3 linked regions of the Anolis sagrei genome follow. The protein of the gene in region 1 interacts with the protein of each later gene in a biochemical or structural test. Links are inferred from orthologs where the notes say so. Each region holds a gene or a part of one and is shown in the gene's direction. Other genes may lie near its edges. The genes, in order: TOPBP1, TICRR and ATRIP.

Region 1 (8,034 bases):
ATTTATTTTCTTTTCTGGGCCCCGTACAACATTGTTCTCCTGCTCCAGACGTTCCAAACATCATTTCGTCTTGACAACTGTTATGACTATAGTAATTTGGGGATTGCGTTACAAGTGACCGAAATATTAGCAATGGCCCATTGTTGCATTAACCCTGTGATCTACGCTTTTGCTGGTGAGAAGTTTAGAAAATATACATGTATATTTTTCCAGAAGCACATTGCTTTTCCTCTGTCAAAACACTGCCGTTTTTTGTATACAGAGCCTCTGGAACGTGCGAGTTCTACATATTCCCATTCCACTGGAGAGCAAGACCTTTCAGCTGTGTTGTAAAGGATGTTCAAAGAGAACTCAACCTGACTAATACAGTTTTTCATCTCTCACTATGTGTAGGGCTCGGACTATAAACAGTTGAGCCTTTATAACAATGCAGCTTTAATTTTGGAGAACACCTGGATCTAATGGACCTTGGTTTCTATCATCTGACAAGGTTTACCATAAACAAATCTCAGGTGCAGTGGGACTATAGACATTATATTATCAGAGTTTCTGGAAAAACAGCAGTAAAATTAAGTCTTCATTTAAGCAAGTCATATACATTATATAATCTCTGAAATGCTTGGGCATGTATGTTTTAAGACAAGATAAATATGGGCTGAACCTGATCTCATATGAATCAGAGTTGATTAAAAAGCCAATGATGTTTTAAAAGGGATTTGGATGTTTACATTTAAAATTGGATTTTAAAAATTATTTAAGATTAATTTCAAAGTTTTCCTAACTTATTTTTTAAAAGAGGATCCTAGAACAAAAATATTCTATTAATATGAAAATGCCAGTTCATGGAGACAGGACAAAAACCTGTTCTGCAGCTGGTACATATGAAGTACAGTCTTGTCTCTCCTTAAGTGGTAAGACAGAAAATGCCACTGAATGCACAATTTGGGGATATTGGGTAGATCTGAGTAATGAAGGAAGAACCGGGATCCTGTTTTTTTAGGAACCAGAAACTAAATCAGAAGTCAGTCTAGAACAGTGTTTCCCAACCTGTGGTTCATGGACCACCACTGGTCTGCAAGAACGAAAATATGGTCCACAACCTCACAATTACTACACCGTTGCCTCAAAACCACGCAGGAATGAGAGCGACTGGTCTCGCAAAACCTTATAGTATCGAGGCAATGGGTATGTCTGGAGGGAAGAGGCTGACGACCCATAAAAGATTACTTCTACCACATCAGCTCTAGATTTTTAAATATGGTTTTCTGTGGGCGAGCAGATGGCGACTACTAAATAGCTCGTGCATTGTATCAGAAACTAAACCTGATGTGGTCTAAGGTAAAGGTAAAGGTAGTCCCCTGACATTAAGTCCAGTCATGTCTGACTCTGGGGTGTGGTGCTCATCTCCATTTCTAAGCCGAAGAGCCAGCGTTGTCCGTAGACACCTCCAAGGTCATGTGGCCAGCATGACTGCATGGAGTCATGCAGTCTATCCAATGCATGTGGTCTATCCAATGCAATTTTCTAAATCGGCATCCCAAATAAACAAACTGAATCTAAAGTTGGCCAAAAACTGATTTGTAACCCTTTTGGTAATAATGTTGGAGTCTTGTCCCTGGTCAAAGTGGTCCCTGCTAAAAACAAAACAAAACAAAACAAAACAAAACAAAAAAGGTTGGGAACCACTGGTCAAGAGCAATTGTTTAATGCAGGGGTCCTCAAACTGTTAGAGGTCCAGATTATAATTTGAAAAAAAAAACATGAATGAATTCCTATGCACACTGCACATATCTTATTTCTTCTGAGGAAAAAAAAAACCCACTTTAAAACAATACAATAATTAAAATGAAGAACAATTTTTAACAACAAATATAAACTTATTATTTCAATGGGAAGTGTGGGTCTGCTTTTGTTGTTGTTGTGTGCTTTCAAGTCATTTCATACTTAGGTTGACCCTGAGTGAGGGCCGGGTAAATGACCTTTGAGGGCCGTATCCGGCCCCCGGGCCTTAGTTTGAGGTCCCCTGGTTTAATGTTTGTCTATCTTCTAATGAAGCCTGCATCTCTGAATATTTATGACTGAATGGTAAGAGTTATATAACTCCTCCTGAATGTGATGAAGTGTCGGGAGCTGAATAGATCACCTACCAACTATGAAAGCAACTCGGAACATTCATTTGTTCTCTATCAGCTTCTGGTGGGGATTTGGAAAATTACATCGAATGCGCACAGATGAAAATCAAATAGAGACCTGATATTTCGGAAGAGAAACTTTCCCCACAAATTTGGTTTTGCATCTCATAGCTATTTCAAAAATTGTTCCCTCTACAGAACAAACAGGAACTATATTGCAGACTGGATTTGTGAAAGGAGGGAGAACAAAAACAGCATTAACTCACTTTCTAGTTTTCCTGTTAGGAAATTTAAGTGCTATACGATTTTTGCTTCATAGATTTGATGAAACTGGTCATTGAATAGATTCTATAGAGGAGATTAAGTATGCCAGATTGCACGGGTATCAGGAACCTCTGTGTGATAAGTGGTTTAGAGTTGGGAATCTATACAAATAAAAATGTAATGTTCGTTTGTGGGATTAACATAATTCAAAAACCACTGGACGAATTGACACCAAATTTGGACAACATATACCTAACAACCCAATGTATGTCCTTCACTCAAATATTTTTTGATTTTGTCTTTTGGGAGTTGTAGTTGCTGGGATTTATAGTTCACCTACAATCAAAGAGTATTCTGAATTCCACCTATGATGGAATTGAACCAAACATGATGCACGGGACTCCCATGACCAACAGAAAACACTAGAAGGGTTTGGTGGGCATTGCCCTTGAGTTTGGGAGTTGTAGTTCACCTACATCCAGAGAGCACTTTGGGCTCAAACAAGGATGGATCTGGACCAAACTTGGCACGGATATTCCATATGACCAAATACGAACACAGATGGAGTTTGGGGGAAATAAACCCTGACATTTGGGAGTTGTAGTTACTGGGATTTATAGTTCACCTACAATCAAAGAGCATGCTGAAGCCCACCAAGGACAGAATTGGGCCAAACCTCCCACACAGAACCTCCATGAGCAACAGAAAATACTTATGGCCATCCAGTCCAACTCCCTTCACCAGGGCAAGAAAACATAATCAAAGCCCTCCTGACAAAGAGCCATCCAGCCATAGATATAGATAGATATATATGATTCACGGAGCCCCCGGTTGCGCAGTGGGTTAAAGCACTGAGCTGCTGAGCTTGTTGATCGAAAGGTCGCAGGTTCGATTCCGGGGAGCGGCGTGAGCTTCCGCTGTCAGCCCTAGCTTCTGCCAACCTAGCAGTTCAAAAACATGCAAATGTGAGTAGATCAATAGGTACCACTCCGGCGGGAAGGTAACGGCGCTCCATGCAGTCATGCCGGCCACATGACCTTGGAGGTGTCTATGGACAATGCCGGCTCTTCAGCTTAGAAATGGAGATGAGCACCACACCCCAGAGTCAGACATGACTGGACTTAATGGCAGGGGACTACCTTTACCTTTTTATATGATTCACACACAGAGAGATATATAGTATCCTAGATTTGAAAGGGACCCTTAAAGAAGGACAATGATATTTTGCATGTTCCAGAGTGGGCAAACCAGACACTCTCCACATCAACACTGACAAAGAAACAGCAAGAAGTGCTGTTTACCCACAAGCATAAAATCTATTTTATTAGCATAGTACAATATCAGTATTAATTATTACTATATTGTATTAAACCATTACATTGTAACATTATTATTAATATTACATGTAATACAAATATATATTTATAATATCATATTATTAGTAGTGTTATATTGCATTACATTATAATATTATAGATATTATATGTATATATACGATATATTATTTTATATTATATTATATTATTAACATAGCACAGGAGACAAGGTGAATCTATATTAAACTACATTTATTTATTTGTCATGTCAGGGCAACCAGTCAATTATATTACATTTCTAACAGAACAAAGCAAACAAACAGGCAAAATACAAAATTTGTGAGTTTGGTAGTTGATTAAATGTCCTTTGACCAGTATCTGGCCACTTGGAGTGCTTCTGGTGTTGCTGCAAGGAGGTCATCCATTGTGCATGTGGCAGGGCTCAGGGTGCATTGCAGCAGGTGGTCAGTGGTTTGCTCTTCTCCACACTCGCATGTCGTGGATTCCACTTTGTGGCCCCATTTCTTGAGGTTGGCTCTGCATCTTGTGGTGCCAGAGTGTAGTCTGTTCAGCCCCTTCCAAGTCGCCCAGTCCTCTGTGTGCCCAGGGGGGAGTCTCTCATTTGGTATCAGCCATTGATTGAGGTTCTGGGTTTGAGCCTGCCACTTTTGGACTCTTGCTTACTGAGGTGTTCCAGCAAGTGTTTCTTCAGTGGTTCTCAACCTGTGGGTCCCCAGGTGTTTTGGCCTACAACTCCCAGAAATCTCAGTCAGTTTACCAGTTGTTAGGATCTCTGGGAGTTGAAGGCCAAAACATCTGGGGACCCACAGGTTGAAAACCACTGCTGTAGATCTTAGAAAACTATGTCTAGATTTAAGTCGTTGACGTGCTGGCTGATACTCAAACAGGGGATGAGCTGGAGATGTCTCTGCCTTGGTCCTTTCACTACATTATATGAGTCTACACTGACCATCCAACGCGGTTTCACACTGCACTGTTTGGCAGTGTTGATAGCACCAGGATTTCCTCTCTGAAACTTCCCCAAAGGAAGCGACACCCTCTCTTTGGCAAGCTACTTTTCACAATACCGGTGGTCGCACAAGCGCCGGAAGAAAACTCAAACAACAAAACCACCCTATCCCTTCGCCCACAAACAATATTTAAAGGGGCCACGCTTACTATCCTTCTCAACCAATCGCCTCTGCCTTTCCGTACCTTGCCCCTTTAAGGGAAACTTTGCCATGTTTGTAGGCCGGCGACGTCACGAGCCGTCCCTGGCGCATGCGCCCTCCGTCCAGGAGTCTTTTCCCGCCAGCCTTTGGAAGAAGAGAGTTGTTGGTGAGAAGGGGAGAGGGGGTCGCTTCCTCAGGCCGAGGACGTGCTGCTGAGGTAATCCCGGAGGAAGGCAAGGGGAACCTGTATCCTTCCTCGCTCTCTCTCTCTCTTTGGGCCCAGAAATGAGAGGGGCCTCCTCCGCCTGAGAAATACTACAGCTCCTCAGGGGCCTCAGCCAGGAAGACCTCCAACTTTTACCTATTACAGGAAAACCAGCTGATTCCTAATCCATCTAAATAGGCCTGGGCAAACTTTGGCCCTCTGGGTGTTTTGGACTTCAACTCCCAGCATTCCTAACAGCCTCAGGCCCCTTCCCTTTTCCCCCTCAGCTGCTTAAGCCATAACATTTATAGCTGTACATTTCTTATGAAACTGACAGCTGAGCTCCACAAAATTTGTTCCTATTTAATAGCCTGAGATAGTTATTTTAGTTTCATTTTCCCTTAGATCAGTGGTTCTCAACCTTCCTAATGGCGTGACCCCTTAATACAGTCCCCCATGTTGTGGTGACCCCCAACCATAATATTGTTTTCATTGCTACTTCATAACAGTCATTTTACTACTGTTACAAATCATAATGTAAATATCTGATATGCAGGATGCATTTTCATTCACTGGACCAAACTGGGCACAAATACCCAATACACCCAAATGTGAATGCTAGTGGGGTTGGGCGAGGATTGATTTTGTAATTTGGGAGTTGTAGTTGATCTTCTGAAGAGGCCCTGCTCTTGGTCCCGCCTTCCTCACAGATCCAGTTGGCGGGAACAAGAGACAGGGCCTTCTCAGCGGTGGCTCCTCGGCTATGGAACACCCTTCCTAGGGATATTAGATTGGCCCTCTCCCTCCTGACATTTCGAAAAAGAGAAAACCTGCCTATTCGAGCAGGCATTTGCAGACGCAGTATAACTCTTTGATTGATACTCATGGAATGACAAGACGATGTGACGGAAAATGATTTTAATGAGACGCTGAGAATTGTATTTTATGGTGTTAATTGTTTATTGTTTTTACATGGCTATTTTATATGTAATTGTTTTTGAATGTATTTTATCTTGTGGGGCATTGATTGCCAAAAGTAAACCTCCTCGAGTCATCTTTGGGCTGAGAGGGGCAGTATACAAATATAGTAAATAAATAAATACACAAATAGGCTTTTTGTTAATGTTTCCTTTGCCTATATAATGTTACATCTTCTCTTTCTTCTTTCCTCATTAGTTAAATGATGAAAAATAACAAGGAACCATATCTTGTGAAGTTCATCAAGTCTCCAGAGAACTCAGATTTTTTCCTTCAGGCCCTTGAAGTAAGATAATTTTTACATATGTGAGGCGCTCTCTGAAAATAAGACTGAGCCATGTTTGGATGCAGCAAAAATGCCTGATGACTTTTCCTGTTGAAGTTTTTATCTTACAGAAGGCAAAAATATTGTGGCTTTCAGCAGATTTTCCAAAATGAATGCAGAAAAGTTCTCCCTGTCTCCTTCCTCTTTCTTAGCTTCTCTCATGCTGTAGGATGGGTGCAAAGCGAGCAATGGGAGGTATTGGCATTTTAGTTCAGCCAAAACCTATATACTCCTGTGTCATATAGGATTGTGATAATTTAATGAAAATAGCCCAGGGTGCACCTGCTATTTTAAAAATAATAATATTCTATGTGGGGACTAGGACATTAGGCAGTAAATAAAATGTCCAATAAAATGTCTGTAAATAAAATGTCCAATGTCCACTGTGTGTGAGTGGTTTGGGAACTTAAAAGAAAGTACTTCATCTCACAATGTATAGTTAAACTTTTAACTACATTACTAATGAGGATAGCTATACATTCTAGCACCAACAACAGTATACCTCAGTATATCAGTAGCTGAGGAGCATAAACATATGGGTGCATTTTGATTTATGTCCTGTTTGCTGCCTTCTGTGGGCAGTTTGATTAGTCATTGCATGAACAGAATGATAGACTAGATAAATACTTGGCTCTGATCCATCATTGCTCTTATCTAATATGGCTTTTCTTCCATTCTTAACCTTTTCCCTCAGAAGTGCTGGAAAAGTCAATTGAGGCCAACTGTCAGTAGTAGGCAGGCTAGAGCCAACGATGGGCCAAGATTTATGGTCTTGGTACTTATGACTTCCGTGGATTGTGTGGCTCTCTCTTTCCTTGTATCACCCATTTTTCATCTGCTTGTGCACAAATGAAATGGAGGAGTTGTTGATTCCCAGCATTGAGATCTGGGGAGCAGAAGTGGTCCTAAAATATCCAAAGACTTGTGAAGCTGGGGGCTTCATAAATTGACTGCATGGAAGGGTGTTGTAGGCGCAGCCATTGAAGGAGAAAATGTGCCTAATTTTAGATTCAAGGAATGGAGTACAGCAATGTAAATGAGAGCAATTTAAATGACAGTGGTGGAGATATGTAAACATTTAATTTGAGCAGTCTGGCAGCAGAGCAAACATATTCCTTACCATCAGCATTGAAGTGATTTCTTTTTTGTCTTGTCAGGAGCGACTTGAGAAACTGCAAGTCATTTCTGGTGTGAGAGAATTGGCCGTCTGCAAGGACGTTGCCCAGGGGATGCCCGGATGATTTGATGTTTTTATCATCCTTGTGGGAGGCTTCTCTCATGTCCCCGCATGAGGAGCTGGAGTTGATAGAGGGAGCTCATCCGCCTCTCCCCGGATTTGAACCTGCGACCTGTCAGTCTTCAGTCCTGCCGGCACAGGGGTTTAACCCACTGCGCCACAGGGGGCTCATTGAAGTGATGATCATCAACCATTAATTTTGCTAGGCTGGCCATATTGTCTGAATGCCCAATCACTATCTCTCAAAGCAATTACTTTACTCTCAGCTCAAGAGTGAAAAACAGAATGTTGGTGGACAGCAAAAGAGATTTAAAGATGGGTTTAAAGCTCATCTAAAATGTGGAATAAACACTGAGAACTAGGCATTCCTGCCCTCAAGCATTCTAACTGGAGATCAGCTGTTAG
Region 2 (7,821 bases), on another chromosome or scaffold:
GTCTATTAATCTCCAAACCGTTTCCTTCTGTGCTCTTCCTTGTTGTTTTGTCATTAAATACGTCAATCTGTCAAGAGCTAGTTCAAGGTGCCAAAGACTTCTGTTACAAGGAACAGGGGCACCTTTTTTGAAACTGTAATATCTTGATAAAGTGGGCAAACAGTGTCATCTAGTGGCAAGAAAAGAAGAGCTAAATCACTGTTTTTGTGTCAGAAGCGAGTTGCCCAGGGGGCTCCTGGTTGTGTTATCATCCTGTGGGAGGCTTCTCTGCTGGGGCTGACAGGCAAGAGCTCACCCCATCTCGTGGATTTGAATGCCGACCTTCAGGGTTTAACCCAATGTGACATTGTGGCTCCTAAATCATTTGTGAAATGACTGTAAAAACATTTGCATGGTCAAAAAGAAGTGGAATCAGGAGGGCAGTGTTCTTAAAATATACCCCTAATGCAAATTTGTAGTGGTTGGAGGATTAGACTATGATTCTGGGAAACCAGGGCTATAATTTCCACTTGCACATGGGAACCCATTGGGAAAGTCACATTTTCTCAGCTTCACGCAATAACATGTTCTTAAAATGTATACCTAATGCAAATTTGTAGTGGTTGGAGGATTAGACTATGATTCTGGGAAACCAGGGTTATAATTTCCACTTGCACATGGGAACCCATTGGGAAAGTCACATTTTCTCAGCTTCACGCAATAACATCCTGCAGAAACGTACTGGCAACACATGGGGTGCAGACCCAAAATTAGTAAGAACATCAGCCCTGGCCTTGTCTTACTCAACTGCTGAGTATGCCTGCCCTGTTTGGCATAGGTCTGCCCATGCAAAGCAGGTGAGCATAGCATTGAATGAAACATGCAGAATAATCACAGGATGTTTTAAACCCACATCTGTTGATAAACTCTACAACTGTGGTTCTCAACCTGGGGGTTGGGACCCCTGGGGGGGATCACGAGGGGGTGTCAGACCCAAAATTAGTAAGAACATCAGCCCTGGCCTTGTCTTATCCAACTGCTGAGTATTCCTGCCCTGTTTGTCATAAGTCTGCCCATGCAAAGCAGGTGAGCATAGCATTGAATGAAACATGCAGAATAATCACAGGATGTTTTAAGCCCACATCTGTTGATAAACTCTACAACAGTGGTTCTCATCCTGGGGGTCAGGACCCCTGAGGGGGTCACGAGGGGGTGTCAGAGGGGTCGCCAAAGACCATTAGAAAACACAGTATTTTCTGTAGGTCATGGGGGTTCTATGAGGTCCAATTCTATTGTTGGTGGGGGTTCAGAATGCTCTTCGGTTATAGGTGAACTATAAATCCCAGCAAATACAACTCACAAATGTCAAGGTCTATTTCCCCCAAACTCCACCAGTGTTCACATTTGGGCATACTGAGTATTCGTGCCAAGTTTGGACCAGATTCATCATTGTTTGAGTCCACAGTGCTCTCTGAATGTAGGTGAGCTACAACTCCCAAACCCAAGGTCAATGCCCACCACACCCTTCCAGTATTTTCTCTTGATCATGGGAGTTTTGTGTGCCAAGTTTGGTTCAATTCCATTGTTGGTGAAGTTCAGAGTGCTCTTTGATTGTAGGTGAACTATAAATCCCAGCAACTACTACTCCCAAATGAAAAAAATCAATCTCCCCCAACCCCAGCAGTATTCCAATTTGGGCGTATTGGGTATTTGTGCCAAATTTGGTCTAGTGAATGAAAATTCATTCTGTGTATCAGATATTTACATTATGATTCACAACAGTAGCAAAATTACATTTATGAAGTAGCAATGAAAATACTTTTATGGTTGGGGGGTCACCACAACATGAGGACTGTATTAAGGGGTCACGGCATTAGGAAGGTTGAGAAACACTGCTCTACAAGCTAGCTGGCATTGCCCCCCCCCCTCCGAAGTTGCTGCTAAATGTGAGAGAAATAAGGTTGAACACTGTGAAAGCCATCCACTACATGGCTACCAACCTCTTCCCAGTAGACTCAAATCAAGGAAACGCTTTATGAGAACTACCACTCCCCTTGGCATCCGCCTGGCAACAGCAAGGGTATCCCTCTGGGCAGCTACACCAGGAAATCCCAACTGGATGGCCCCCCATGAGAGAGGGTCTTCCTCCAGGGGCAAACCAAGAATGGGCAACCTGGAAGTCCCCGAATAGACTCAGAAGCGGAGTGGGCAGATCAAAAGACAACCTGGCAAAATGGCACGACCTAAAAGAATCCCACACCTTGTGTGACTGTGGAGCAGAACAGACAACTCCGCATCTATATGCTTGTCCATTGTGCCCTGCCTCATGTACAGAGGAGGAACTGTTGGAGGTTACAGACAATGCTGTTGCTGTTGCCCGTTTTTGGTCAAAAGATATTTAGCCACCAGCACACCTTCTATTTTTTTTCCAGTTTTATACTAATTTATAATCTGCTTCTTTTTTATCTTGCCCGAGTTTTTAATTAGTTTTTTATTAGTTTTCTTTTAATCATTACATATAGCCCGCCCATTGTTACTGTGATTGTGCTTATTGCAATTTTATATTGTTATGTATTCACATGTTTTATGTTATTTATTTATTTATTTATTTATTTGGGGTGCTTCTACCCCGCCCTTCTCAACCCCCTGGGGGGGGACTCAGGGTGGCTTGCAAAAGGCACAATTCGATGCCTAATAATTACAACATACAATGGAATATACAATACACAAATTTACCATATAATATCACAGTTATCACTAATTAAAACAATCAACAATATACTAGCAGCAATAAAAACATCTTGTGGTCAGTGTTCACCAAATCCAGTCCGTAAACCATTTAGCATTGTCATTATGATGTTGTTGTTTATTGTTTGCATTTTCAGTTTGCCTTTTCAGTTTTACTCTGTTGTAATTTGTTGTTTGGGCTTGGCCTCATGTAAGCCGCTCCGAGTCTCCATCAGATGGTGGCGGGGTATAAATAAAGATGATAATGATGATGATGATTATCCAGGTTGGTTCCTCAGGTGCTCTGCTATGGCTGACTTCTCTGGTTGAAGTAGTCTGCAGTGCCTTTCATGTTCCTTGATGCGTGTTTGGGCAAGGCTGCTGCGTTTGGTGGTCCCTATGTAGACTTCTTGTCCACAGCTGCATGGTATGCAGCGCCCAAACACGAATCAAGGAACATGAAAGGCACTGCAGACTACTTCAACCAGAGAAATCAGCCATAGCAGAACACCTGCTTGAAGACCTGGATGTTTGTGCAGGCGTTTGAGTAATTCAGTGCAATTCTGGTAATTTGAACATAAGAACGGAACAATGGACGATGAATTTGGATCACGCTTGGATGATGAGGCAATTGTGATAACTGTGTTTTGATGATGGTTATTAGCTAGTAATGGAAATGTGTAATTTAACTGTTTTGCATATTAATTATTGCTGTTTTTATTGTTCTTGCTGTTTGCTGTCTGGAAACTGCTGTGAGTCGCCCTCGGGCTTGAGATACAGCGGTATACAAGAATAGTAAGTAAATAAATAAATAAATAAATGAACCAACCTGGACGCAGCATATTATTTGAGAACACAGAAATGCTGGACCACTCTCACAACCACCATGTCAGGCTACACAGAGAAGCCATTGAAAAGGAGGAAATCATGAAAATGAACAAAATCTGGCTACCAGTATTAAAAAACTCTAAAATTACAACAGCACAACAAGAGAGAGGAAACAAACAAGGACATCTAATCACCTCTCAACAAAAGATTGCACCAGGCACTGTCAGGCCATCTCTGACTCTGAGGATGCTTGCCATAGATGCAGGCGAAACGTCAGGAGAGAATGCCTCTAGAACATGGCCATATAGCCCGGAAAAACATACACCTAATCACCTCTCAACGAAAGATTGCCCCAGGCACTGCCAGGACATCCAATGCTAATCAAGGTGGTCAGTTGAAACATTCACACCTAGCTTCAGCAGAGAAGAGCTCTGTGCCCCACCTCAGTCATTCCACAGATATATAAACCCATTTTCCTAGTTCCAACAGACCTCACTACCTCTGAGGATGCTTGCCATAGATGCGGGCGAAACGTCAGGAGAGAATGCCTCTAGAACATGGCCATATAGCCCGGAAAAACATACACCTAATCACCTCTCAACGAAAGATTGCCCCAGGCACTGCCAGGACATCCAATGCTAATCAAGGTGGTCAGTTGAAACATTCACACCTAGCTCCAACAGACAGTCCTTTGTCCCACCCTGGTCATTCCACAGATATATAAACCCCCTTTTCCTATTTCCAACAGACCCCACAACCTCTGAGGATGCTTGCCATAGATGCAGGCGAAACGTCAGGAGAGAATGCCTCTAGAGCATGGCCCTATAGCCCGAAAAAACCCACAAGAACCTAATAACTGCATTAGTTGGTTCCTTTCCCCTAGGCCAAGGTTTCCAGAGCATTGGGGAAAGGTGCCTTTTGGGGTTGTCCTGGGCTGGGCCCTTCTCCAAGCCCAAAAGGACAGCCCAGGAAGGCGAAGTTCCTGCCTCTGCAATACAGCCTTTCAGTAGCACGGCGCGCATGCGTACAAACTGATATCCCCTTCGAAAAACCTGACAGGAGTAGTGGGTGGGATTTTGACATGATCTCGCGAGAGTAGGGAGGAGCCGAAGACGAGGTCTTAGCCAATGAGAGAGCGGCGTCGGAGTGAGCGCCGTCCAATGAGGAAGCGGAGCGCCGAGCGCGCCAGCAATTGGATTGAGAGCGACGTCGGGGAATGATAATGGCGAGAGGCTTCTTGTGGTGGTGAGGCCTAGCCCTGAGCGCCGTGCCGGGATGCCATGGCTGCCCGAGGAGGACGGAGACTGGCTCATAATCAGCCAAGAACTAACTAACTAACGAGAAGCAGGCCAGCTTCCTGAAGAGGAATGGTGAGTGCGGGGCTTTGAGGGATTGAGGAGTCTTAGGCCTCTTCTACTTCCATATACAATAATCTACTTTGAACTGGATTATATGGCAGTGTAGACTCATATAATCCAGTTCAAAACAGATTTATTTATTAGGTTCTTGTGGGTTTTTTCAGGCTGTATGGCCATGTTCTAGAGACATTCTCTCCTGACGTTTCGCCTGCATCTATGGCAAGCAAGCATCCTCAGAGGTAGTGAGGTCTGTTGGAACTAGGAAAAGGGGTTTATATATCTGTGGAATGGCTGGGGTTGGGCAAGGAGCTCTTCTCTGCTGGAGCTAGGCGTGAATGTTTCACCTGACCACCTTCATTAGCATTTGAAGGCCTGGCTGAGCCTGGGAAAATCCCCTGTTGAGAGGTGTTAAGATGTGCCTGGCTGTTTCCTTCCTGTTGTTGTGCTGTTGTAATTTTAGAGTTTTTTTTTAATACTGGTAGCCAGATTTTGTTCATCTTCATGGTTTCCTCCTTTCTGTTGATATTGTCCACATGCTTCATGTGGATTTCAATGGCTTCTCTGTGTATTCTGACATGGTGGTTGTGAGCGTGGTCCAGCATTTCTGTGTTCTCAAATAATCTGCTGTGTCCAAGCTGGTTCATCAGGTGCTCTGCTATGGCTGACTTCTCTGGTTGAAGTGGTCTGCAGTGCCTTTCATGTTTCTTGATTTGTGTTTGAGCAATGCTGCGTTTGGTGGTGCATTTGGTGAGACAAGAAGCTGATGAGGAAACACAACATACAAACAATCTCCAGACCCACCAAGAAAATCCAACACGTTTCATTCAGCAAAGGACAAGAAGGATCCTCTCACCTCTGCAGGAGTCTACCGTGTACCATGCAGCTGTGGACAAGTCTACATAGGGACCACCAAACGCAGCATTGCACAAACACGAATCAAGGAACATGAAAGGCACTGCAGACTCCTTCAACCAGAGAAGTCAGCCATGGCAGAACACCTGAGGAACCAGCCTGGACACAGCAGATTATTTGAGAACACAGAAATGCTGGACCACACCAACAACCACCACGTCAGACTACACAGAGAAGCCATTGAAATCCACAATTAGCTGGACCAACCAGCCAAGAATCAGGAAAATCGCATTCAAACCACCCCTGACAGATGGCCATCCAGCCTCTGTTTAAAAGCCTCCAAAGAAAGAGCCTCCACCACACCTCGCGGCAGAGAGTTTCCCTGCTGAACAGCTCTGACAGTCAGGAAGTTCTTCCTCATGTTCAGATGGAACATCTTCCTCATCTTCAGGTGGATTATCTGCTTTGATAGCCTGGATTATATGGCAATGTAGAAGGGGCCTTAGTTTTTATTTTATTTAATTAAAACATTTATACCCTGTCCTTCTCGACCTCTGCGGAAGGACTCAGAATGGCTTCCAAACAGGCAACAATTCAATGCCAGACATAATATAAAACACATAATAAATATATCCACAAAATTAAAACCACCAAAATTAAAATCGTCATCCAAAGCAGTCCAAGTCCGGTCCAATAAATCTTGTCTTTCCCAGTAAACAAACTGTTCTGTGAACGCTTGATCCTATAACCAGGATTTAAGTTCCTTCTGAAAGGTCAGGAGGAAGGGGCCAGATCTGACCTCATTGGAAAGGGAGTTCCACAGCTGGCGGGGCCACTACGGAGAAGGCCCTGTCTCTTGTCCCCCACCAAACATGACTGCGATGGCGAGAGCAGGGCCTCCCCGGATGATCTTAAGTTCCTAGACGGTATGTAGGGGGAGATACGTTCGGACAGATAAACTGGGCCGGAACTATTTAAGGTTTTAGTAGACCTCAAACTGAGCATAAAGCAGCAGTGTGGTGTGGCAGCTAAAAAGGCCAATGCGATTCTAGGCTCCCATCAAGAGGAGGACTGTATCTAGATCAGGCCTGGGCCAATTGTGGCCCTCCCTCCAGATGTTTTGGACTTCAACTCCCACAATTCCTAACAGCCTCGGGCAGTGTTTCTCAACCTGGGGGTCGGGACCCCTGAGGGGGTCACGAAGGGGTGTCAGAGGGGTCGCCAAAGACCATCAGAAAATACAGTATTTTCTGATGGTCATGGGGATTCCATGTGGGACATCTGAGCCAATTCTATCATTGGCGGAGTTCAGAATGTTCTTTGATTGTAGTGAACTATAAATCCCAGCAACTACAATTTCCAAAAGTCAAGGTCTATTTTCCCCAGACTCCACCATTGTTCACATTTGCACATATTGAGTATTTGTGCCACGTTTGGTCCAGATCCACCATTGTGTGAGTCCACAGTGCTCTCTGGATGTAGGTGAACTACAACTCCCAAACTCAAGGTCAATGCCCACCAAACCCTTCCAGTGTTTTCCGTTGGTCATGGGAGTTCTGTGTGGCACATTAGGTTCAAAACCATCGCTGTTGGCGTTCAGAATGCTCTTTGATTATAGGTGAACTATAAATCCCGGCAACTACAACTCCCAAATTATAAAATCAGTCCTCCCCCAACCCCACTAGCATTTACGTGTGGGTGCATTGGGTATTTGTGACCAGTTTGGTCCAGTGAAAATACATCTTGCATATCTGATATTTACATTATGATTTATAACAGTACTAGGATGACTGTTATGAAGTAGCAACGGAAATAATGTTATGGTTGGGGGTCACCACAACATGAGGAACTGTACTAAGGGGTCGCGGCATTAGGAAGGTGGAGAACCACTGACCTAGAGGGCTGAAGTTTACCACAGCCTGCACTATCACCTTATAACCTTAAATTCCCTTAGCATTTAAACCTCCCATATAATCACAATGTTATGTTTATTGGGATGCCACATTTCCAGTTATTTTCCTCTTCTTTAGGTATATTTAGGATACGCTTGGGTCCTTCATTAAGCCACAGATCTTTG
Region 3 (7,793 bases), on another chromosome or scaffold:
GGGCTATGGAATATGTCGTCCTCCAGATGTTGAACTGCAACTTCTGTTAATTCTAGTTAGTGTTGCAAGTGGTGAGGGGTGATAGAAATTCAGAATCTGGAAGATTCCTTGTTAAAGGTTCTCTTACTTATTTATGAGATGTATGATAGAATGCAAGCCAATTTTGACCCAGATCTTTCTATCTGCTGCTCTTTTCAGAAAAAAGGAAACTGAATTAATGTACTCATGACAGTTATATTGAGTTACTAATGGAAAAAGGGAGCCTGCAGAGGATCTCCAGCTTGGGATGGCTAAAAATAGCATTACTGGAAGTAGAAAAAGTATTGATGTTCTAAACAGACTGGGTCATTGTGTCAGTTTAACTGATGAGACAGAGCTAGTATTTTCAGCAGCAAGCAAGTGCATACAATTCTTGAAAGAATGAAATGATTTCTGAGCCCACAAAAGTCACTTTTAACAATTATGGCCAGTATGAGATCATTGGCCATACTGCTCATTCATCTTAATGGTATAAAGAGAAATTCAACCCTTAGAAATTAATCAGTATCTAGATTCATTGTGTACTTTGGGCGATGTCACTGGCACTTTAGATTAAAGTATCTGATTTGGGAAAGAATTGGAATGCATTATCATTATCCTGGGAATTTGTGAAATCTAGTAAATAGTTTAGAATATTTGCTGTAGATAAAGAAGCTTGGATCCAAACTACTCTGTGTATAAATGGAAGGAATGTCCAATCAATCAGGCAAGGAAATTGATTGGTTCATTTTCATCCATTTGTCCCTCTCCCCATCTGCCACTCTCTGATGTAAAGGATTAATTTTTACTCAGGAGCAGTTTTCTGCACAAAAAACAGGCAGCAAGAGAAAGACAAGAAAGTGAAGATATATACATAGAAACCTATAAGGTCTTTTAGATCTTGATTAAAATTGCATGAGCAATAACAGAGGAGAAAGGCAAGATCTACATAATGGTGTCTATAACAGGTTAGATGAAGTATGACCTTGGGATACAGCTTGTAAGTGTGGATATAAGAGTGGATGCACCTTTTAAGGTTGTTTTTTAGCTGTTTAGCCCTCCAGACTTCTTGTACCATCCTTGAAAAAGAATTGCAGTTCAGCTTTTAAATACTGTAGATTGCACGAAGCCCGATGCAGTTGTGCATTAAAAGTTAAATTAAAACATTAAAAAGGTTTACAGGTATCCCCTACCATAAGCATGTATGCCCATGCGGTATGGAGAGAGTAGAAACTACCAGGCATGCCCTTTTAGAATGTCACATCTATTAGGATACTTTATCTGTTTTTATTACTCCCATTGTATAAAAGATCCCTGGCAGAAATGAACTTGTGTGATTTTAAATGAATGTCTTAATAATTAATGTTTTAATGAACTGTTTTATTTGTAATTATTATTTATCATTTGTATGTTGGCATCAAATAGATGCCTGTTGGGAAGTTGCACTGAATCCTCCCCCCCCCCCCGGGGGGGGGGCACGAGAAGGACAAGATACAAATATGTGAAATAAAAAAAATAAATATTATCTAAAACTTCTTATAGTGATCCATTGATCATTTATAGAGTGGCTATGTTTTGTGTGTCAGCTATAAAAATAAGGAAGCAGTTTGTGGACGATTTTGGCAGGTAAAGTTTTAACTTACTCGTTTTATTATCCACTAGCCATCCCCTGCCATGCCTTGCTGTGGCCCAGTCTAGTGATCTAAAAAATAAAGTCATGAGAAAGTGTTGGTTTCTAATATGTGTAATTTCTTTATGCTTGTGTGTAAACAGTATTTGATTATGTTTTCTTGCCCTGGTGAAGGGAGTTGGACTGGATTGCCTTAAGTATATTCTATTGGTCATAGGGGTTCTGTGTGGGAAATTTGCCCCAGTTCTATCGTTCGTGGGGTTCAGAAAGCTCTTTGATTGTAGGTGAACTATAAATCTCAGTAAATACAACTCCCAAATGTCAAGATCTATTTCCCCCAAACTCCATCTGTGTTCATATTGGGGCATATGGAATATTCATGCCAAGTTTGGTCCAGAACCATCATTGTTTGAGTCCACAGTGCTCTCTGGATGTAGGTGAACTACAACTCCAAAACTCAAGGCCAATGCTCAACAACTCCTTCCAGTATTTTCTGGTGGTCATGGGAGTTCTGTGTGCCAAGGTTGGTCCAATTCCATCTTTGGTGCTCAGAATGCTCTTTGATTGTAGGTGAACTATAAATCCCAGCAACTACAACTCCTGAATGACAAACTCAAATTTTTGAGTGATGATCACGCCTTGGGTTAGTAGGTGTCTTGTGTCCAAATTTGGTGTCAATTTGTCAAGTGGTTTTTGAGTTATGTTAATCCCACAAACGAACATTACATTTTTATTTATATAGATACTCAGTGTCATATATGAAGCCAAGCACACGATCGACTCCATATCATGGACATTCTTCTTTTAATGTTGTGAACTTCGGGTCTTAATGTTAACAGTTTTTTTTTTTAAAAAAAACTTCTTGTTTTTAATGTTTTAAAGTTTTACACTCTTGGTCTGTAATAAAATTCATTCATTAATCCTTAAAAAGGAATTGGAGTTTACCTTTTAAATACTGTATATTGCAGGAAGCCCAATACAGTTGCGCTTTCAAAACTAGAAATATATTTGTGATAATTTCCATGATTGGGGAGTTTGGCTTTGACAGCCCATGTGGCTCATAGAAGGTCACAGGGGTAGAAAATACTTGTCCTGCTTGGATAGCTTCACATATAAATGAACCTCAAGGTGTTGTTGGCTTATGGAATACAGTATCCTCAGAGATCCTGGAATTGTAAATGTAGAACTACCAGAGGGCATGGTAATACTTTTGCAACCTCTGTCCTAAATATTGTCGACATAAGGTGTAAAGATGTTTGAACCACATAGCTCAATTTCTGTTGAAGAAGCCATTAGAAAAGGTCCTCTAGATGTTATTGACCTGCATTGCCAAAAATGAAGAATGATGTAGTCCAGCGAAAACTAGCAGGCCTATCCTTGTTCTCCTGTACTGCCACCCCAATCTTATAACAGCCAGAGGGAATAATATAATGCACAACTCAGCTAGATAACTTATCTAAAGAGGCAAGACTGACTGCTGCTCCATGTTTGGTCATTAAGTTAGGCACCTTACAACACCAAGTAGAAGAATACGCTGCCATGCCTCCCCGTATCTTCTGACCCAAAGTTGCAATCCTCTTATCTTTGTAAAACCACAAAGGGTAATTTCCAGATAAACATTGTGAAACACATATTAAGAATCTCTATGTTGGAGTGGTTGAAGAGTAAGTAACTCTGCAGTACTTGGAACATGGTTCAGAAATAAGTCCCAATGTGTTCAATATTCCTAAAGAAGTGGTCAGAAGATTACACTCTTTGTGCATTTCAGTTGGCCAAGCTGGTTGGGGTTTCTGGGAGCTGAAATCCACAAACCTGTAGGACAAAAGGTTGGGAGGTTATGCACATTTATGCAAAAGCAGATGTTTTCCAGAAGGGACCACATAACTGATTTTGTTCTTATGCATTTGTGGCTGTGACTTAGACAAAACAAAACAAACGTCTTTCAGTACATATTAATACAGAAAAAACGAATGACATTATACTTATGATACTAATCTACACCAGGCATGGGCCAACTTCGGCCCTCCGGGTGTTTTGGACTTCAACTCCCATCATTACTAACATCCTCAGGCCCTTTCCTTTTCCCCCTCAGCCACTTGTGAAAAATACAACTCCCATCTTATTTATGTATTGTGTCAGGAGCAAACCAAACAGTTGTATTGGATTTTTTAAAAAAATCACAAAGTTTGCCAACTTGGCATTCTATTAAATGTCCTTTGATCACTTGGAGTGCCTCTGGTGTTGCTATCAGAAGGTCCTCCATTGTGCATGTGGCAGGGCTTAGGTTGCATTGCAGTAGGTGGTCTGTGGTTTGCTCTTCACACCCGCATGCCATGGATTCCACTTTGTGGCCCCATTTCTTAAGGTTGGCTCTGCATCCTATGGTGCCAGAGCGCAGTCTGTTCAGCGCCTTCCAAATCGCCCAGTCTACTGTGTGCCCAGGGGGGAGTCTCTCATTTGACATCAGCCATGGATTGAGGTTCTGGACTCAACTCCCATGATTTCATAACATTGAACCAAGGCATTTAAAGTGGCTGCCAAACTAGATTGACTTGACTTAGGCGATCCCTCGTTGGACGAGTAAGATGATTTTCTATGATGGGTTTCCTTGTGGATTCGTAGGTGGCTGTGGAGCCCTATTCTTGACCCGCATCTTCTCCCACAGTGAAGGCATTGGTTTCCAGGTGGAAGATGGTCCCAGTCGTGGTTGGCTTGACGCGCCTTCCTCCTGGCACGTTTCACTCTTTCACCCTCCACTTGTGCCTCCTCCAATTCTGCAGCACTGCTGGTCACAGCTGACCTCCAGCTGGAGCGCTCAAGGGCCAGGGCTTCCCAGTTCTCAGTGTCTATGCCAAACTAGATTATTTCTATAGTGTGGGTGGGAAGAGGCGAGATTAAAAAACACATCCACCTGCCCCCCTACCCCCTCACACTTTGTGCTTGCAAGGATCCTTGGCGTTTAGTCACGAATCCTAAAGACAGGGAAAAGAAATCCCTCCCGTCCAATGGGTGAGCTCCTTCCATTTCGCGCGTCACCTTTTCTTTGCACGTCCCTCCCCCAATAGACCGGATGGGACGTCATTGGGAGAGAGCTGGCTTCCTATTGGTTGACAGAGACCGGGGAAGCGATGCCGGGCAGATGCTGCTGCCCTTCTTGCAGAGCCTCCTCTCCTGACGCGGGAAAACCAAGGTAAGTCCAGAGAGAGTGCAGGGAGGTCGTGGGGGAGCATCTGCACCCTAGAATGAGTGCGACTTGGCACCGTTTGAGCTGCTATTACTCACACCTATGGAATCATGGGAGTTGTAGACCTTGTGGAGCTACAATTCCCATGATCCCATAGCACGGAGACACAGCAGTTAGAAGTGGTGCCAAACTGGATTAATTCTAAAGTGTGTATCCATTGTGACGATTTGGATATCAGTCTGTTTTAAAGAGGTTTGTAGTGGTGATACTTCTGCTAAACTTCCAGAAATGTCATTCTTCTTGTGGGTTATCCAGATTGTTACTAAATATCACTAAAGTCAGATCTTGATTTACAGGCATGATATTCTCCTTGTTCCTGCGGCTTGTCCAAATCATTAGACCAGTGGTTCTCAACCTTCCTAATGCCGCGACCCCTTAATACAATTCCTCATGTTGTGGTGACCCCCAACCACAAAATTATTTTTGTTGCTACTTCATAACTGTAATTTTGCTAGTGTTTTGAATCGTAATGTACATATCTGATATTCAGGATGTATTTTCATTCACTGGACCAAATTTGGCACAAATATGGCCAAATTTGAATACTGGTGAGGTAGGGGGCAGGATTGATTTTGTCATTTGGGAATTTTAGTTCCTGGGATTTATAGTTAATCTACAATCAGAGAGCATTCTGAACTCCACCAGCGAGAGTATTGGGCCAAACTTCCCACACAGAACCCCCACGACCAAGAGAAAATACTGGAAGGGTTTGATGGGCATTGACCTTGAGTTTTGGAGTTGTAGTTCAAAAGTGCAAAAGCTGGATTGCAGTTAAACATAAATTCAACCAGAATTATGGCAACCAGACAGATTGATAACTGGCAAATAGAGGGAGAAAACGTGGAGGCTGTGACAGACTTTGTATTTCAAGGTGCAAAGATTACTGCAGAAATCAGAAGACGTTTACTTCTTGGGAGGAGAGCAATGACCAATCTTGATAAAATAGTGAAGAGTAGAGACATCACACTGGCAATGAAGATCCACATACTTAAAACAATGGTATTCCCTGTAGTCACCTACGGATGTGAGAGCTGGGCCATAGGTAAGGCTGAGCAAAGGAAGATAGATGCTTTTGAACTGTGGCGCTGGAGGAAAATTCAGAGAGTGCCTTGGACCACAAGAATATCCAACCAGTCCATATTTCAGGAAACAAAGCCCGACTGCTCATTGGAAGGAAGGATATTAGAGACAAAGTTGAAGTACTTTGGCCACATCATGAGAAGAAAGGAAATCTTAGAGAAGACAATGATGCTGGAGAAAATGGAAGGCAAAAGGAAGAGGGGCCGACCAAGGGCAAGATGGATGGATGGCATCCTTGAAGTGACTGGCTTGACCTTGAAGGAGCTGGGGGTGGTAACGGCCGACAGGGAGCTCTGGCGTGGGCTGGTGCATGAGTCGGAAGCGACTGAACGAATGAACAACAAGTTCACCTGCATCCAGAGAGCACTGTGGACTCAAACAATGATGGACCTGGACCAGTCTTGGGACGAATACTCAATATGCCCAAATGGTGGAGTTTGGGGAAAATAGACCTTGACATTTGGGAGTTGTAGTTGCTGGGCTTTATAGCTCATCTACAATGAAAGAGATTCTGAATCCCACCAACGAGAGAATTGGGCCAAACTTCCCACAGAGAACTCCCATGACGAACAGAAAATACTGTGTTTTCTTATGGTCTTTGGTGACCCCTCTGACACCCCCTGGTGACCCTCCAGTGTTCCCAACCCCTAGGTTGAGAAACGCTGCATTAGACCTTCCAGTAGGTTTGTTTAGGTCCCACTCATGAGCATTTGTGAGCAAGGCCTGATCATTTCCTTGAAAAGGTGATTACTGTTGGCTTTAATAACACATTGAAAAGTACTGAGGAAATAGAGGTCCCAGAACTGATTTTAAATAGGCAGCTTTAACCTTGTTTTGTGGTTTCTTTTTGCTAGGATAATTCCTGACACAGAATGTCAGTGAACCATTTATTTGGGAATAAGAAGAGAAACAGCTCTATATTATACGGTGTGGATCAGGCCAGAGTGACTGCTTCGACTTCATCCTTCCAGAGAACTGCAAGTAACACTGGAAACCATGGAGATGGATTTCCACCCAATAAGCGCTATAAAACCCTTGCCACAACTGGGCATAAAGAAATGGAAGATCCATTTCAGGACAGTGATGATTTCACTGCAGATGACTTGGAGGAAATTGATATTATTGCTTCCCAGGCAATGACACAAAACGTTTCTGTAAACACAAATGCATCAAGAGCAGAGCAAAATAGAGAACTGTCTTCACTGTCAAAAAGTACCACCAATGCAGCAGATCACATCAAGCAATGGAATTTCAACTTTGCAACTGAGACAAAATCTAAGCAAGTATTTGGTATGTGTATTCTCAGTGAGACTGGAGTCTGGAGCAATGAGGATTGATGATTTACACTGTTATTACTGTTTTTCTTTAAAAGATAGTAAACCTGTTGAGGTTGCCTTTTGGGCACAAACCCCTCTTTAGGCAGTGCGGATGCTAAAATAAAGCACTAGGGTTAATAAAAGCCCGTGACAACCATAAATTAGACATTACACCTGACAAAATGCTAAAATGAAATACAATTGTTATAAAAGAAATAGCACATAACAAGATAAGGCCAAGGAATACAAATGGTTCCTGAGAATTTTCTTGGAGATCATGAGTGATGGGGCTTAACATCATTAGTTGTTTTGCTGTTTGGTGTTTTCCAATGGTTTCCAACTTATAGGAGGCCCTATAATATGGTTTTCTTGGCAAAGTTTTTGTCAGAGTATGTCTGCTATTGCCTTCCTCTTAGGCTGAAATGAATACGACTTCACCAATATTATCCATTGGGTTTCTATGGCAGAGTGGGGATTGGAGCACTATTTATTTCATATCAAAAGC

What was found.
Region 2: the proteins of TOPBP1 (region 1) and TICRR form a complex in vitro, tested with the Homo sapiens proteins (2 studies listed by BioGRID). The link is inferred for Anolis sagrei from reciprocal best matches to the Homo sapiens genes TOPBP1 and TICRR.
Region 3: the proteins of TOPBP1 (region 1) and ATRIP form a complex in vitro, tested with the Homo sapiens proteins (2 studies listed by BioGRID). The link is inferred for Anolis sagrei from reciprocal best matches to the Homo sapiens genes TOPBP1 and ATRIP.

Annotation. Positions count from the first base shown.
Region 1 is NC_090026.1:78,150,887-78,158,920, forward strand, and holds the start of TOPBP1 (DNA topoisomerase 2-binding protein 1), read left to right. Parts: upstream 1-4,999; 5' UTR 5,000-5,101; intron 5,102-6,265; 5' UTR 6,266-6,269; coding exon 6,270-6,353; intron 6,354-8,034. Other genes in the region: C-C chemokine receptor type 5-like, read left to right, coding at 1-333. UniProt on the Homo sapiens protein: Scaffold protein that acts as a key protein-protein adapter in DNA replication and DNA repair. Composed of multiple BRCT domains, which specifically recognize and bind phosphorylated proteins, bringing proteins together into functional combinations.
Region 2 is NC_090029.1:34,509,932-34,517,752, reverse strand, and holds the start of TICRR (treslin), read left to right. Parts: upstream 1-4,724; 5' UTR 4,725-4,904; intron 4,905-7,774; 5' UTR 7,775-7,821.
Region 3 is NC_090022.1:67,074,806-67,082,598, forward strand, and holds the start of ATRIP (ATR-interacting protein), read left to right. Parts: upstream 1-4,728; 5' UTR 4,729-4,838; intron 4,839-6,826; 5' UTR 6,827-6,844; coding exon 6,845-7,262; intron 7,263-7,793. UniProt on the Homo sapiens protein: Required for checkpoint signaling after DNA damage. Required for ATR expression, possibly by stabilizing the protein.